Coturnix japonica: one gene and its partners. The protein of the gene in region 3 purifies or fractionates together with the protein of the main gene of each other region. This does not show direct contact. Links are inferred from orthologs where the notes say so. Each region holds a gene or a part of one and is shown on either strand. Other genes may lie near its edges.

The links.
Region 1: the proteins of COPS4 (region 3) and DCAF1 purify together in Homo sapiens (affinity purification with mass spectrometry; 4 studies listed by BioGRID, with this or other methods). This does not show direct contact. The link is inferred for Coturnix japonica from reciprocal best matches to the Homo sapiens genes COPS4 and DCAF1.
Region 2: the proteins of COPS4 (region 3) and CUL4A purify together in Homo sapiens (affinity purification with mass spectrometry; 7 studies listed by BioGRID and IntAct, with this or other methods). This does not show direct contact. The link is inferred for Coturnix japonica from reciprocal best matches to the Homo sapiens genes COPS4 and CUL4A.

What each region holds. Positions count from the first base shown.
Region 1 is NC_029527.1:1,249,710-1,254,783, forward strand, and holds part of DCAF1 (DDB1- and CUL4-associated factor 1), read right to left. Parts: intron 3,442-5,074; coding exon 3,365-3,441; intron 3,054-3,364; coding exon 2,980-3,053; intron 2,115-2,979; coding exon 2,001-2,114; intron 749-2,000; coding exon 611-748; intron 1-610. UniProt on the Homo sapiens protein: Acts both as a substrate recognition component of E3 ubiquitin-protein ligase complexes and as an atypical serine/threonine-protein kinase, playing key roles in various processes such as cell cycle, telomerase regulation and histone modification.
Region 2 is NC_029516.1:123,891,765-123,896,838, forward strand, and holds part of CUL4A (cullin-4A), read right to left. Parts: intron 4,734-5,074; coding exon 4,664-4,733; intron 3,261-4,663; coding exon 3,187-3,260; intron 2,293-3,186; coding exon 2,130-2,292; intron 633-2,129; coding exon 543-632; intron 1-542. UniProt on the Homo sapiens protein: Core component of multiple cullin-RING-based E3 ubiquitin-protein ligase complexes which mediate the ubiquitination of target proteins. As a scaffold protein may contribute to catalysis through positioning of the substrate and the ubiquitin-conjugating enzyme.
Region 3 is NC_029519.1:41,186,129-41,190,732, forward strand, and holds the end of COPS4 (COP9 signalosome complex subunit 4), read right to left. Parts: intron 4,062-4,604; coding exon 3,911-4,061; intron 3,561-3,910; coding exon 3,390-3,560; intron 3,045-3,389; coding exon 2,929-3,044; intron 2,560-2,928; coding exon 2,475-2,559; intron 1,503-2,474; coding exon 1,369-1,502; 3' UTR 953-1,368; downstream 1-952. UniProt on the Homo sapiens protein: Component of the COP9 signalosome complex (CSN), a complex involved in various cellular and developmental processes.

The DNA of each region.
Region 1 (5,074 bases), on a different chromosome or scaffold from region 3:
CCTTTTTGCTATGGCTTTTACTCTAAAAATAAAAATCTTCACTTGTTTTTCCTGAAAGAAAAAGAAGTGTGTTCTGAAACCCATTAAGAACCTACAGTCTGACACACTCTAATTGATGCTGCACCCCATTCTGAAAACCAAGTTTGCCTAACCAACCTTCTTCTGACAGTCATCTCAACTGCTGATAATCATCATATAGATTCAGCATTGAACTGGTGAAAGATTTATATTGTATTAAGAATAACATTTCCTATGAAGTTATCTCCATGCTGACCACTGTTTAAGCTACCACATGCAATAGCTAAGAATTTGAAATTTCTGCTTCAAGGAAACTAGGAGTATGAGTCCCATCAAGAAGTACAGTATTTGTCTTAGGTTTTCATAGGCATTTTTAAACACAAACAGTGTAGCAGAATAACTGGGCTTCATACCCCAGCCTCAGCAAATTCAGTCAGGAAAGGACAGAAAGTATGAGCTACTGAGTGAATATATTATTATAACCACTATAAAATGCATACACCAACACATACATGAGAGTGTCACCACATGCTCTCAATAAAGAGAGAGCTATCCGTCCTGTAAACGAAAGTGCGCATCAAGAGATCATTACCAATTGTGAATTCTCATCCCTGTAATTCGCAGCGATATCTTGGTTTTCCATAGCTCCTCCTAAAAGCCCTGTTGCATACGTCCTTAGTGGCTGATCAGCTTCACGTGCCCATTTAAAGAGATTTTCAACTATGCCTTCCTAGAACGCAGAAAACAAGAAAGCAATTCCAAGAGTTGAGCATTTCTTTTTCCTGTCAGTTTTACTAATAGAGCTCTCCAGCAATTTGGCAGTTCCAAAGAAATGCTGTTGAATTTACACTAAGTTAAAAATAAAATAAAGTGGTAAATTACATTTCTCTAACAGCTTCGTAGTTGAAAAGTCACTTTAAACAAGCAAACTTCCTGGTGCAGAAGGAACCCTTTACATTAACAATTTCTCACCAATCAAAAGAGCAATCCTCAACAGCTGTAAAAATGTACTGATTGGGGAAGGGAGAAATGTATGCCATTATACCAACCCACATATAGAAAACCACAGTGTTAAATACTGTTAATATTTTAACAGTAAAACTCAGAAGTGGTTGAACATGGCCTGCCAGGCAACTTTTCTTAACAAGGCTGAATGCCAAAGAAGTGTTGATTAAAATAGTTAATTAAAAGACTACATGTTAGAATGAAAGACTCTATTATTTTTTCCTGTAGATCATTATTGGATTTTGAAACACCAAACCATAACATCATTAGCATGACAAGACCTTGCACACAGCCCTGCACATAATTTGAGATGTAGGTACAACACAGTAAAAGATCAGTTAATAGTAATAACAAATGGACACGCTGCAGTAAGAACCTCCAGCTTACAGTTTTTTGAAGAATTGGGTATTATATATTCAATAATAATTAAATTTTAATTGAAGCGTTCTCTCGGCCTGCCCTCACAGGGAAGGTGTTCTTGTGGTCCTCCTCTGGACATGCTCTCTTCTGTACTGAGGACTCCATATATGGGTGCAGTACTCCAGGTCTCACCAGCAGAGAGCTGCTCTATCCTTACATCCTCAGATTATACTGATAGTAGGGGTTACCATGACTCAGGTGCCAGACCTCACACTTGGCTTTGTTGAACCTCATGAGGTTCTTCAAGGCCCATTGCACAAACCTGTCTAGATCTCCCTGCATGACCTCCCATCCCAGAGATATGCTGAATGTACCACACAGAATTCCAGTTCCTCTGTTTGAATCAGTCCTCTTAAAACCTCCAAGCTGTGCAATACTCAAGATTTGATCAGCTGAACAAGCCCACATCAGAAAGCCTCAAACCTTTCATAAGGCTAAACAGATTGTCTCCCAGAGGTAGGATTTAAATGCTGCTTTTTACTGGTTTCTCCTGTGGGATGAGCTGTTGGAGTACGTAATACACCAAGCTTATAAACTAAGCCTCATATACAAGATACCTTTTCCTGAAAGACAACAGCAGTTTCCAATCCTGGCATGATATCCAGAAGAAGTCTGCAGGCAGCAGTGTTTAATGGAGGTTCTCTGCTCGTCATCACATAAGCATTCACTAGCTAGAAAAGAAGAGGAAAAGCATCAGTTTGAAATTCAGGAGTAGAAATAACTTCTCTAAGAAGCACAATTCCCCTCTGATCTGATGTTCACTGCTTAAATACTTTTCTTGAGCTGATTCATTAAGACAAATGCCTAAAATAATTACAGCTCAGTAACAGTGTAATCATGTGAGAGTAATAGCTGGGGAGGAAAAAAAACATTAAAAAAACACAAATACACAAGAAATACCACACTTTCTTAATGGCATTTTTGTTTATCAGTTGCAGTTTAAGACAGAAAGCTCCACGTAAGTCATCTGGTAGAAAACTTACAGCAACATGCACTGATACAGGGGGTGCACTGAGATGAGGGCAACAAAAACTCTAGCTATTAACTCATGTATGGGTAGAGCAGTGCAAGAGAAAAGCCAGACTCTTGTCTCCAAGTGCTTGGCCTGAGCCTGCTAGAGCAGATACACCTGCTCATACAGGCACTCCAGCATTTCCAAGTATTCACAGACAAAGCACTGGAATTAGTAGTTAATTTCTACTACAGAAATTAATTATGCTTTTAAACTTTTATCAGGGGACCCGCACTTTCTTTAAAGAGACCAATAAATGCTGAGAAGTACTAATTCAATCATTAATACACATATTCCAGTACTCTTGAATAGCTGATGAACTGCCCCTTTCCTTGGGTCACTCTAGCAGCAGCAAACAAGCTGCATTCAAACACACTTTAAAGGCTACTGCTAAGGAAAAAACAGACCCACCAACAGTAAAATTAATATTAAACAAGCACAAGTACTGAGGTCAGTAACACAGGAAACAGAAACATTAAAGTCTTAAGAAGACCTGACAGGTACCGTCCTCAGAGCAAACCTACCGCATTCATGAAATCATCATTCTTGAAAAGTATCCTTAGTAAGTGACCAAGCATACACTCAGGGTCTGCTCGACCTGTAGAGGAAACAGGAAAAGACGTATGTACCTCAAGACTTCAAGATCAGTGCTAAACTACTGACTTCAGTCTGACTGTGGAATAACGCAGTCAGCTGTACCTCTCTTAGATACAGAACTATAGAAGTCATATGAATTACTGATCAAGTCAGAGTTTCCTCTAGTTGCAGTTACCTACTTAAAACATATACTAGTCACAACAGACACTGATCAGTAGTGAACAGAATTAGGCAAGATTCCGCTTACTTTTAAATATGAATTACCATATACCAGCTGATGCAGAGCTGACTAAATCATTCAGAATTCCTTACCTGGGTGTCGGTCATCAAAAGGGTCTGGATCCCCTTTGCGGTATTCTTCAGTCTCCTTCTCAATCAACTCAGACATCCTATAGAAGGAACGACATAAAATAAGCACAATCCACTCTATCCTGCCCCAGTACGCAGCTCCTTGTGTTAGCCTACTTGTCACAGTACTATCAAACAGCTTATCAGCTTTCATTTGAATGGCATCCAGAGGATTTCAGACTGCCCACCCAGAAGGGTGAATACAGAGCCTTGCTTCTGACATCCCATTCCCCACCAGCCCTCCAAAACATGCTGAGACCTTATCAATGACCCCAGTGACAGACAGGTGTGATGCTCTGAAGGTGCCAGTACTGTTTATTTACTCATGTTAGAGCAGTATTTCAAAAACATCAGCAGATTCATCCCCTTGCCTTGGTGTACAACCTGATTCCCTCCCCTCTGCTGAGCTCTGAAGCACAGTGCAGAACCTACAGGCAGTGCAGCATTTTGAATCAAGTTTTTAATACCTCCAAACCGGGGAGGCAAGTCGAGGTTATTAGAAAGGAGGGAGAATTGCTAGAAGGCTGCAGCAATCCCCAGAAACATTTCCCCAGAGGATTCCCTTACAGAATGCCATTGACTTCTGCTGCATTAATGACACTTTCCAGAAAACAAATTGCCAAGGTCAACCAGAGGCAAAAAGCTTATTTAAACCCACCTCTGTGAACTACACTGACTAACCAGTAGGACAGAAGATGATGCTATAAAGCCTGCTCAGACTGTAAGAACACAAAATTAGCTCATCGGGATCAAGTACTTCCCTGCTCCTCTCAAATTAATTGCTATATCAAACCATTTATCCTGCAAGGTTTTAATATTTCCTTTTAGTAAGGCTGAATGTGAAGAGATGCAAATTGCATCCCTTGCTAACAGGTGGCACAGCTCAAGCTCTTCTGGCTTTCTGGCAAAGGCTAACTACTGAAGTACCTATTGCCAGCTCCTCATTTTTCCAATGGGAACTAATAGCTTGAGAAGCACCTGCTGACAGAACTGGGACAAATGGGGAGTTGAGAACCTGAACCCTAGATTTGCTACGTCTTTTTAGGTGATAATACTGAGTACATGCCAGGAAAGACTGACAGGCAGCACAGAAAGTGAGCTGAGCACTCTCCTTAGTCCATGGTGTTTAGGGAGGCAGCCAAACAGCTGAAGCTGCTGAGTGCTTCCAGGGATGACAACATTATCACAGCCTGGATGAAACAGGCACACGAATCACTGATTATCAGCTTTGGGTGGTTGTGTTTATTTTGAGACAATTAGGCGCAATCATTTGACCAAAATATGAAAGCATTGCCTCTTCAAAATTGGCTTTGAAAGAAAAAAAAACAACAACAAACCCACAAATCAAATATTTCTTTGACTGAAGGCATACAAAGAGTAACTATGAAGTGCCTTGGATGCAACTATGGCTTATTCTAGGAGAGCTTATTCTGCTCTCCTATCATTTCTACTGAGAACTGACAAACTACTAAAGCTAATTCTCACCTCTTAATACAGACATATGACACAAAAGGCTTTAACAGCAAACACGAAAAGAACAAACACAGAAGTGCTGAGCTTTTATGCAGGTTTCAACATTTCCTTTATTCACTTGATATTAAGCTGGTTCTCTACCCACACAAGGTTCTACATGAGGGACAGGTGTTCTTCCCCCCCCCAACTGTGGACTCTTTT
Region 2 (5,074 bases), on a different chromosome or scaffold from region 3:
ATTTTCAGGCTGCCCACCACAAAGCATAATTTCATCTCAAAAGCACAGAAAACAAAGATGTCTCAAGGTCTACTTAACTAGTAAGTAACTGGAACAAAACAGCAAAATAAATGCAACAAAAGTTCTTAAAACAAGTAAACAGTTAATTTAGCTATTAAATACAGAGTAGACCAGTGGCAGTGGATATTTCACAGCTTTTCAGAAAAATACCATATTCATGGCACGCTTTTAAGCTTTACATGGAGATGAGCATTCTGGCAGCATGACTTTAGCAACAAAAAATGTCACTTGACTTCCCTACCCTTCATTTGTGTTTCTATATGCAATATACAAATACTAGATATCTATACATATACCCAACATCATGGCAAACTGGAATTGGTTCTTCTCTTTGATACAATACCACAGTCCCCAAAGCATAATCATCATTTACCCTTGTAAATTTCTTTTAGTATTCACTCTGTGGTGCTACCAGAAGTTCCCACATAATCCCATAGCAGATGGAACTAAAATAAAACCAGTTAACTACAGCATGCACCTACCTCTCTTTCTTGCATTAATCTTTGGCCCTCTGCAGCATATAAGCAATTTGTCTCTTCCAGAAACCTCTGTTCAAATGATTCTTTGTAAACCTGTTCAAGAAATCAATTTAATTACTTACATTAAGCTGCCATTAAAAGTAGCGTACCCTGGTTTACTTGGAGGCAAGTAAAATCTCAGGAAGGCAAAATAAATGTTTAAAATTATATAAATGCAGAAATCTGATTTTTTCCCCACTGGTTTTAGAAAGACTACAATTAAAGTTGACTTCCCAGCGTGTCTAAACTGACAGGTTTCTGTTTAATTCACACAAACACCAGCACTCAACACAACAGCACAGCAATGACATCTAATCCACGTGAGCTCAAAACCCCCACTGATATTTCTGGGCCAGTTCCAACTGGGAAAACAAAACAGGTAATTCCCAACAGTAAAATGATGATACTCTCAGTAACGTGCCTTAGGAACAAAGCTGATAAGGAAGTACTTTCAAATATTTGGCTTTTTCCTCAGCGCATCAAACAAAATCTCTGGCTTGACAGGTATTCAGAGTGTAATAGTATTCAATGTCATAAGCAGACACTAACTGATTGCTTTAGCCATCTCTTTAAACTGAATCAAACCCAAGACTTTATATCTTACCTTCCTTTCCTTCACTAACTTTCTGACCTATGCTAACGTAATAAGGAGTTATTTCTACACAGACCACGTATAAAGCTTTACAACAGGGAACTGCAATAGAACAAGATTGATGCAAGCAGGAATAAGCTTTCAGCAGTTGGTCTCCAATTTTGTAATTGCCTAAAAATCAGGAATGAGAAAGAGCTTAATTATTTTTGAATGAAATATAAGATTTGCGTTCTTAATTCATCTTTCACCACAAGCTAACCTCCAATGAAAGAGGAGAGAGAAGCAGAGATCCTGGAGGCAGGATCAAAAGCACACTCATGCCTGATAATATAAAAGAATACACTTTGTTAGGTTCTAGAGTGAAGAAAGAAAACACTTCTGAGAGAGTGAAGAAGACTGCAGATTGAAATGCAGACCTGTAAGAAGGATCTAATAGAGGAGATGCCTTTAGTTAGCAGTGTATTTTGCTAAACAAAAATGAAACAAAACAGTAGCACTCACTGGTAATACCTACAAAAAACTGATGCAGTTAAGAGAAGACTGCCAAGTAACAGGAAAAAAAAGTGGGAAAGAGCACACAAATCAGATCTACGTCTTCAGATCTGCTAATGATTTTTCATATCATAAGAAGTCCTTCTTCTCTCTTGAACAGAATTATCAGTTCTAAATCTTTTGTGTTATGGACGAAAGTCAGAAAAGTTAACATGGAAAGCAGAAACAAGCAAATAACACAGACATGTCGCAACTAAGAAGAAAACAAGCACAGAAATCTCACTTAAAAAACAGAATGAACGACTGTGGATTGGGCAAAGAAAAGGGAACCGCCTTCTCAATCTGTTTGCCAGATTTTGAAGCACATATTTACTAGAATAAAATTATTTCTGTATAACACACACGCCAGAATAGTCCAAAGTCAGTTTCTAAAACTAGTGGTAATGGCTGAGGTTTGCTGTACTCACCTGCAGATCAGACAGCATACTCAACAAACTACGCAGCAAACTTCGGTCCACTGCTTCACCACTTCGTTCTCTTTCAATCAGCAGGAGGATTCCATCAATAGTCTTGTTTTGAACTTGTTTATCACTAATGACATGATTCCTAAATAATTCCAGCCCCATGTCCCTGTGTGAATAATGAAAATTAAGACATCACTTTGTTGGTTCTTTTCAAATTTGCATGTTAAAGAAAATATGTGTGTATACGTATTATATATAAATATAGAATCATAGAATCACCAAGGTTGGAAAAGACCTAAAAGATCATCCGGTCCAACTGTTCACCTATTATGCTCACCTATACGTTACACAGAGAGAATTTATTAATCATGTATATATTCTATAAGAAGAACTATCACAAAAAGCTGCCATCTTCCTCCCCATCCTGAGGGGAGAGCACAGAAGTAATATACGCAGGGAAGAGGCACGCTGCTACTTCAGTATTTTATCTACATCTTTTCTTGCTTTAGACAGAATACAGACACCAGAAAATTGTGGCAAAGTATGGATTTGTTTGTCTTGGTGATTATACAAAATGTCTCTCAGGAAGGACGCTGAGAAACAGACGTGGCTGTGGGGTGCTCAAACTGCAGGAGCAAGCAGGGGTTAACCTCAGAGCTCTGAGCCCGGGTCTCAACTCACAAAAGGCCAGGGCAGGAAACATGATCTGCACCTTGTGAGTGCACCTAACATTTAAAACAACAGAGCCAATAGCCAAGCTCTGAACTTTGCCAAACCAGGAACACCTGAAGAACCACTAGACTGAAAGAGAAGGCCCAGGGGCAGCAGCCTCACCCAAACTTGGCAGCTGATCCACAGTGACCTTCCTATTTTACCCTCATATTACCTCCTGGGGAAGGTGGATATTACAGAATTAATTTTCCATAAATTAACACAAAAATTTAATCAACCTACTACACAGCTCAAATATATTGTGAGGAAAAAAAAAAATTATATTTTCAACCTTTATAAATACAGCACAAATTGTACAGACTAAAGGAGCACACATGCAGATACCTACCATATAGAAGGAAGCATTGAGTTCTGAAGTACGTATGTACGATCCAAAAATAAGAAAATGCTTCTGATCATGATCTGAAAACACATCAAGGAAACATTTTTTCTCTTTGACAGCATGTAACACTTTAAATTATAAGGCAGATTCTGGAAAATTACATTGCAGACACATGATTTTTCATTGCTGCTACACCTATTTTTGACTCTTCTGGTGACCTGCATCTCTACTGGTATGTCATTTGTTAACATTAATGCTATGACTAATCACTGTAACTGAATAGATTCAAGACAATTTTCAAATTCATAAGCAATTAATGGAATAGTTTTATTGGCCTTAGTGCTGTTTAAGTCTTAGTGCTACTGAGATACATATTTACTCAAGCATAGTTATCAACTGTCAGTAAACTGCTGTCACATATTTCACTTAAAAATGTTTCATTCAAAAGGCTGCTCAGCTTTTAATTTAGCATTACAGTACCTCAGGATGTCCATACATAACTCACTGCCAGGCCAGCTACTGAATTGCCTATCCTCAGATGCCTACTCAATCCTCCTCTAAAGGATTTCAGTGCTTCTAAAGCAATTCTCAAGCTCACACAATTTCTAGCCAACCACGTTAAAGTAAAATAGCAACAAGATCGGTTTTGTTTTGTTTTCTTGAACACCACAGGTACTACCTCAGCACCTGGACAAGAAAGCCACTTCCTACAGGGTTGTTGATCTGATGAATAAACATGAATAAGTAAAACCAACAAAAGGAACTCTCAAAAGTAATTAAAGAGAACAGAGTTCACAGAAAGAAAACACCATATATTTATAAAAACACAGGTCCAGTTTAATCAAACTTTCAAGGTAATAACCTTCAACCTTAATTTCATCAGACTGCAGAATTTGTTCAGAATATTTTCCACAACACTATCCGTTTCATTCGAGATAAAATGCACATACACATCCCTGCCCATCCCTCATGGGGGAGGGAAAAGGAAGTAATTTGGGTGCCCCACAATTTTGGGCACCTGTAGCCAGAGCTTGGTGACAATGCAAGGAAAACTTAGAATTATAATGAAGTAGTATCTTAAAAGGCCAATTCTTATGAGTCGTTTTCTTCCTGTTTCTCAGCCCAGTAAGTCAGGATATTCAGCTCTGTTTTGAAAAAAAATACAAAATAAAAGCCACAAATTAACCTAGTTGGAGTGATCTATAAGCAAAGACTGAAGAATTGGTTGCTGAATGATTTCACTAGAGTCAATATGTTTCTGAGTGATATTCTAGCTGGTTACCACTAGGAAATCAATGAAGAGCAAACCAATAACACAGCAGAATGTAACTTTTGACAACAGAACGGCTCCCAGCCAGTAAAGGGGAAAGCGAAAAGTCCTACTGAAACTTGGAGGAAGCGCATCACAGACCCAAGTTAAAAGCTCCCTTTTGCCAGGCTGTACTTCTCAAGGATACACATTCTGAACAAACACTCAACTTACCATTTGTCTGCAATGATCTTGCCAGCATTTATTTATCTTCTTTAAAAATAAAAGACTATCCAGAGAATCTGTACAGCACCTATTAAGGAAAACTAGCTCGCCAGTAACTTTTGAGGTCAGATTCCAGAGATGATCTTTGCCAGCCATTGAGCAAATCTCCTTCGTGGATATTCCGATGTTGCTGGGACTGCCTAGAGATGAACGGTTAATTGCAAAGCTTCTGTCCAGCACAGGAACTGGCAGCTCTCCAATAAACCTCCCTATGTTTTCAAGGAACAACACACACAGCCCTTCACTAATACCATCTACCGACCACACTGCATAGCTCTGATATAGATGTAAGTAAGAAATCCCATCAGTGTCAAAACCAACCTTATCACCCATGGAGGTGAGCTGGATAGAAAGGTTTAC
Region 3 (4,604 bases):
AAAACATATGTTGCATGGGTCACTGAGTACTGAAGGGTCAACGAGAACATAAATTGAGTCAAATACAAACATAAGCAACCTTTGTGGATAAGCTATGCCAACAGTGAACCCATTTAGAGCAATGAGGCAGTGATGTCTGACCCTCTCCAGAGTAGTTGTTAACCGAGGTTATGCTGAATATTCCAAGCTCTAAAGGTGTGAGTAGCTAAGGAAGTGAACTTAAGACATCACAGCAGTTCACATCTCAGGCCCAAAAGAAATCCCTGAACTTTACTAAACTGAACAAAAGCCTCATCACAAGCATTTGAGTGTATTTTTCTGTTGATACTCTGAATGGGTGCCTGTCTTACACTGTCTACATAAACATGGGGCTTTTTTTCCTACTATACAAGGCTTCAAAACTATCGGGAAAGTTTTTAAAGAGATACCTTAAAGGTAAACTGGAGATAAAATCATTTATCCAATGATTAGCCAAAGTCAACTTTAAGTTTTGATGCTGTTGATGAAGAGAGAGTGGCAAAGATGCATATAGTACAGTCACCGTTCATTCTTGGTCTGCTTGTCTTCTACTGCCACCTACTGAAGTAGCAATATGAAGTATTGCTAAGCTATCAAACTTCTGCTGACCTACAGAAGAAAACGGAGTGCCCACTTGCTTTCCAATATTTGGTTCATGTTATGTTCAAATCATTTACCACAATGCTTGTTCTTACTCCACCTATTTTCCATGGCCACTTCTAACCCACAGACTACCAGACAGATCTCTTTTCTGCTGTACCAATGTAGCAGAACAGTCAGCATTAAGACTTCTCAGATAGAGAAGCAGGGCACAGAAGAGCTGACGAGTTGTTTCCTCAGTTTACATTTTCAGGGGTTGAAATAGACATTTCTAAAACCTTGAATTATTTTGTGTTGCTGCTTTGGGGTAAAAGAAAAGCCAACAGGTCCCTCCAACACTTAAAACAAGTGGTTTACTGCAGCTTTTATTAGAATAATTACAAGTAGAAGAAACATGGCACTTCCATTTTTCACAGTGGGATGAACACTTTAGGAAGTAATAAGCTGCAAAGCTATAGCAATACGGTGGAAAACCAAACGACATTAAATAAACCAAAACCCAAGCTCGTTCCGACGTGGCAGCTTCTATGCAGAAACCACAGCTTTCAGGACAGCAAAGCACAACGCAGATGCAGCAACTCATCCTACACTCAGAGAACAGTGGAACTTCTCACAACAAACACAGTATCGCCTAATGTGTCCTAAGGCAGAGTGAAAGCGAAAGGTGTGGACACAAAGGTGGGTTATTCATTCAGCAAACAGTCCTGCTCAGCTTCCTTCCCTCCAGCACAGAAGACCATGGCTGTGCAGTCACTGAGCCATCTGAGCCTCCATTGCCTGGGCTGTCCATTCTGGTGCTGTCTGACTTATCTTCTCCAGCAGGTTGTTCACCTGGAAACACAGGGACTGAATCTGCTTATCCCAAGTTGGCAAAGCTTCCCGAGCTGCAAAAGGAAACCACAGAAAACAAAAGTATAGTCTTGGCAATTCACCATCATTGTTTAAATGCAAGTTTCACCTTTGGTACTGCTCTGACCTGCCTTGCGGCTATATCATACTCTGTTCTGTCTTCAAAAGTTAAATGACTTTGACTGCCCATTACAAACCTAACCCCTGCCTTACAAAAAAGCAAGCAGAGAAATTCCTGATATCCTACAAGGAGACTGGCAATATAAATTCACACTTTGATATGGATAAAAGAATGCAGAACAGAGGGACATGTGAAAACTGGTACCTCCTCTGATAAACGACAAAGGAGAACTGTGTACAACAGATATGGAGAAGGCTGAGGTTCTTTGCCTAAGTCTTAACTATCAGTCTGGCTTCTCATATTTCTCACAACGCTGAATCTCACATCACTGAACCTCTTGGTGGGATCTCCACTGCACAGGCAGAGAAAGTCCAAGACCATCTCATAAGACAGAACATGTACAAGTCTATGGTGCTGGACAACATGTATCCCAGGGTCCTAAGGGAGCTGGCTGATGTGCTTGCCATCACATATAAAAAGTTATGGCTGTCAGGTGAAGTCTTCAGTGACTGGAAAAAAGGAAATGTCACTCCCACTTATAAGAAAGGGAAGAAGGACAACCTGGGGAACTACAGGCCAGTGAGCTTCACCTCTGCACCTGGGAATATCACTGATCCTCCTGGAAGAGGCACATGAGTGATGAGAATCCCTGCCTGTGGCAGTGGGGCTGGAATTTGATGATCCTTGAGGTCTCTTCCAACTCAAGCCACTTTATGATTCCCTGCTATGCAAAATACTGCCACCTCCTGGCTACAGCATTATACAGCATACATCATAGATAGCAGTTGTAAACAATCTGTTTGCTTTACTAGACAACAACTCAAAAGGACAATTCTGAATGGTACAAAACAAATTAAATTAAAAAAAAATAAAAATCCCAACTTACTCTCAAAATGAACAATTCCGTCAATCTGATCAATGAATCCATTCATGCGTCCCTCAGTTATCATCTGAGAAGCTATTTTTTCTGCCTGAAATAAGGGAGAAAGAACGATATTAGGTATCTGATCCATTCTGAAAGAAGTGATAATCCATTACAAGTTTGATAGTCCTTATATGTTTTTCATCTACATGGGGATATAGGCAGAACCATACCGAAAACATCTCATCATGCACCAACTGACATACTTAGTGGCATCAAAATATGTTACTGTCCCTTCTATACTGTGTCCCCTTCCTTCTCATAAAATGTGCTAACTTAACTTCTGTCATGTGTCCAGTATTGAATATTTAATTTCCTATCAGTAAACTAATTTTCCTAATATTGACTAGAGCTATTCTTACATCCCTGCTGCTTTGTGTTGCTTTTTCTTTTAACAAAAGGTGTTGGAAGCCATTACCTTAGCTGCAGGGATCTCTAGTAATGCTCCAAGCTCTTCAAAGGTAATATTGTTGTAAAGTTTGCTTGCAGATAGTAAATTGTGTTCAATAACAGCTCTGTCCAGGATACTGGAACCTTATGGGTTGAATGAGACAACAATTCATTAATATAAATGAGATATTTGGTTTATATTGTAGAACAGATGCAAAGTGTGTTTTTTTTTTCTGAAGGTTATACATGCAGAAAGTACAGGTGCATCTTGTTGCATGGCATCAGCCTACCGCCACAAATAAAGAAAGTGATCAGAAAGATTTCCTGTGGTGAATTTTTTTTTAATACAAGTAGCTTTGAACCTTTTATTTTGCATTGTGGGAAATAACCTTAAATGATCACATGATGCTTTTTTCTGTTACCCTTAGGGACGCAAAGGGCAAACCTGGATGAACAAGCAGCGCTGTGAGGCTTTAGAGAAATACATACCATCAGCTGTAGTTGCTTTCTGGTGAGGCATTAGCATAGCTGCAAACTCTTGCAGCTGGTTTCCACGAATAATTCTGTCAAGGTACATTTTCTCCAGAATCCCATAGGCTGCAAGCTGCTGGCATCTCTCATCCTTAAAAAGTGTAGCAAGCATGCGAGAACGCTGCTGTCCTAAGAGAGCCATGAAGAATCCTCATAAGTTGCCACCAAGAAGTTGAGTATTGGCAGATAAACAACAAAGATCTCTCTCTTTCTAACACATACAATCAACAAAGTTCTACCAGAGAAGACTGGGTTGCATTCAGTTCCAAAGCACTGCTTGCCACTGACTTTATTTTGCATCTTTAAATGGCCCCACACCACTGGCAAATAAACAAGTACTCCAGCTCTGAATTAACCCTGACACCATGCTCACAACTCTGGATTCGATTCCTCAGCTCCTTCCCCCAGTAATGCAGAAGTTGACTTGCTTCAGGAATACGTATTTCGGATCTCTTACATAAAAAAGTATCATATTTTACCTGCTGATGCCAGAATAGTGCAATGCAAAGCGTGCTTCAGTGCCTCCAGTCGCTCGCTTTCATGAACTATGCTCTTATAGGACAGCTCGTTGTATCTTTGGGCAGCCTCAATGAACTTTCTTCTATAATCAAGAACTCGAGCATAACAAACCTAGAAAGAAAATGTCTGAGTAACAGAAAACAACACAGTATGGCTGCATAGTACAAGTGTGCATTAATCCCTGCATAATTAGTTTGCAGCTTCGACAAACATTTCTTTATTGCATCTTCAGCAACTCTGTGTCACCAAACAATCAGTTTGGCTTGTAAAAATCTGGCTTAAGTGCTATGATAGATGACTGAAAGGGCTTTTCCCAGCTCTATTCACATGTTAAACACTGCACTTGTCTAAATGCAAGAAACAGCAAGTGGAATGTTGTACCGGGATCAAGCTGACCTTTTGTCAGTGACATGAACAACTAGCACTTAGATAGCAATTTCTATTTTTCAACCAACCAATAAGCAAGAAGGTCAATTAATTTACTGCTCTGGACTTAAGAATACTTTTGTGGACGGTATTTGGTATTTAATTGCTGATGGGTAAAAAAAAAAAACAACAAAGCAACCCAACTCTAATAATCTCTAATATTGGACACGTGGTTTTTTTTTTTTCCTTTTAGATCTACAAAGATAGGGGACAATACTGTAAGTAAAA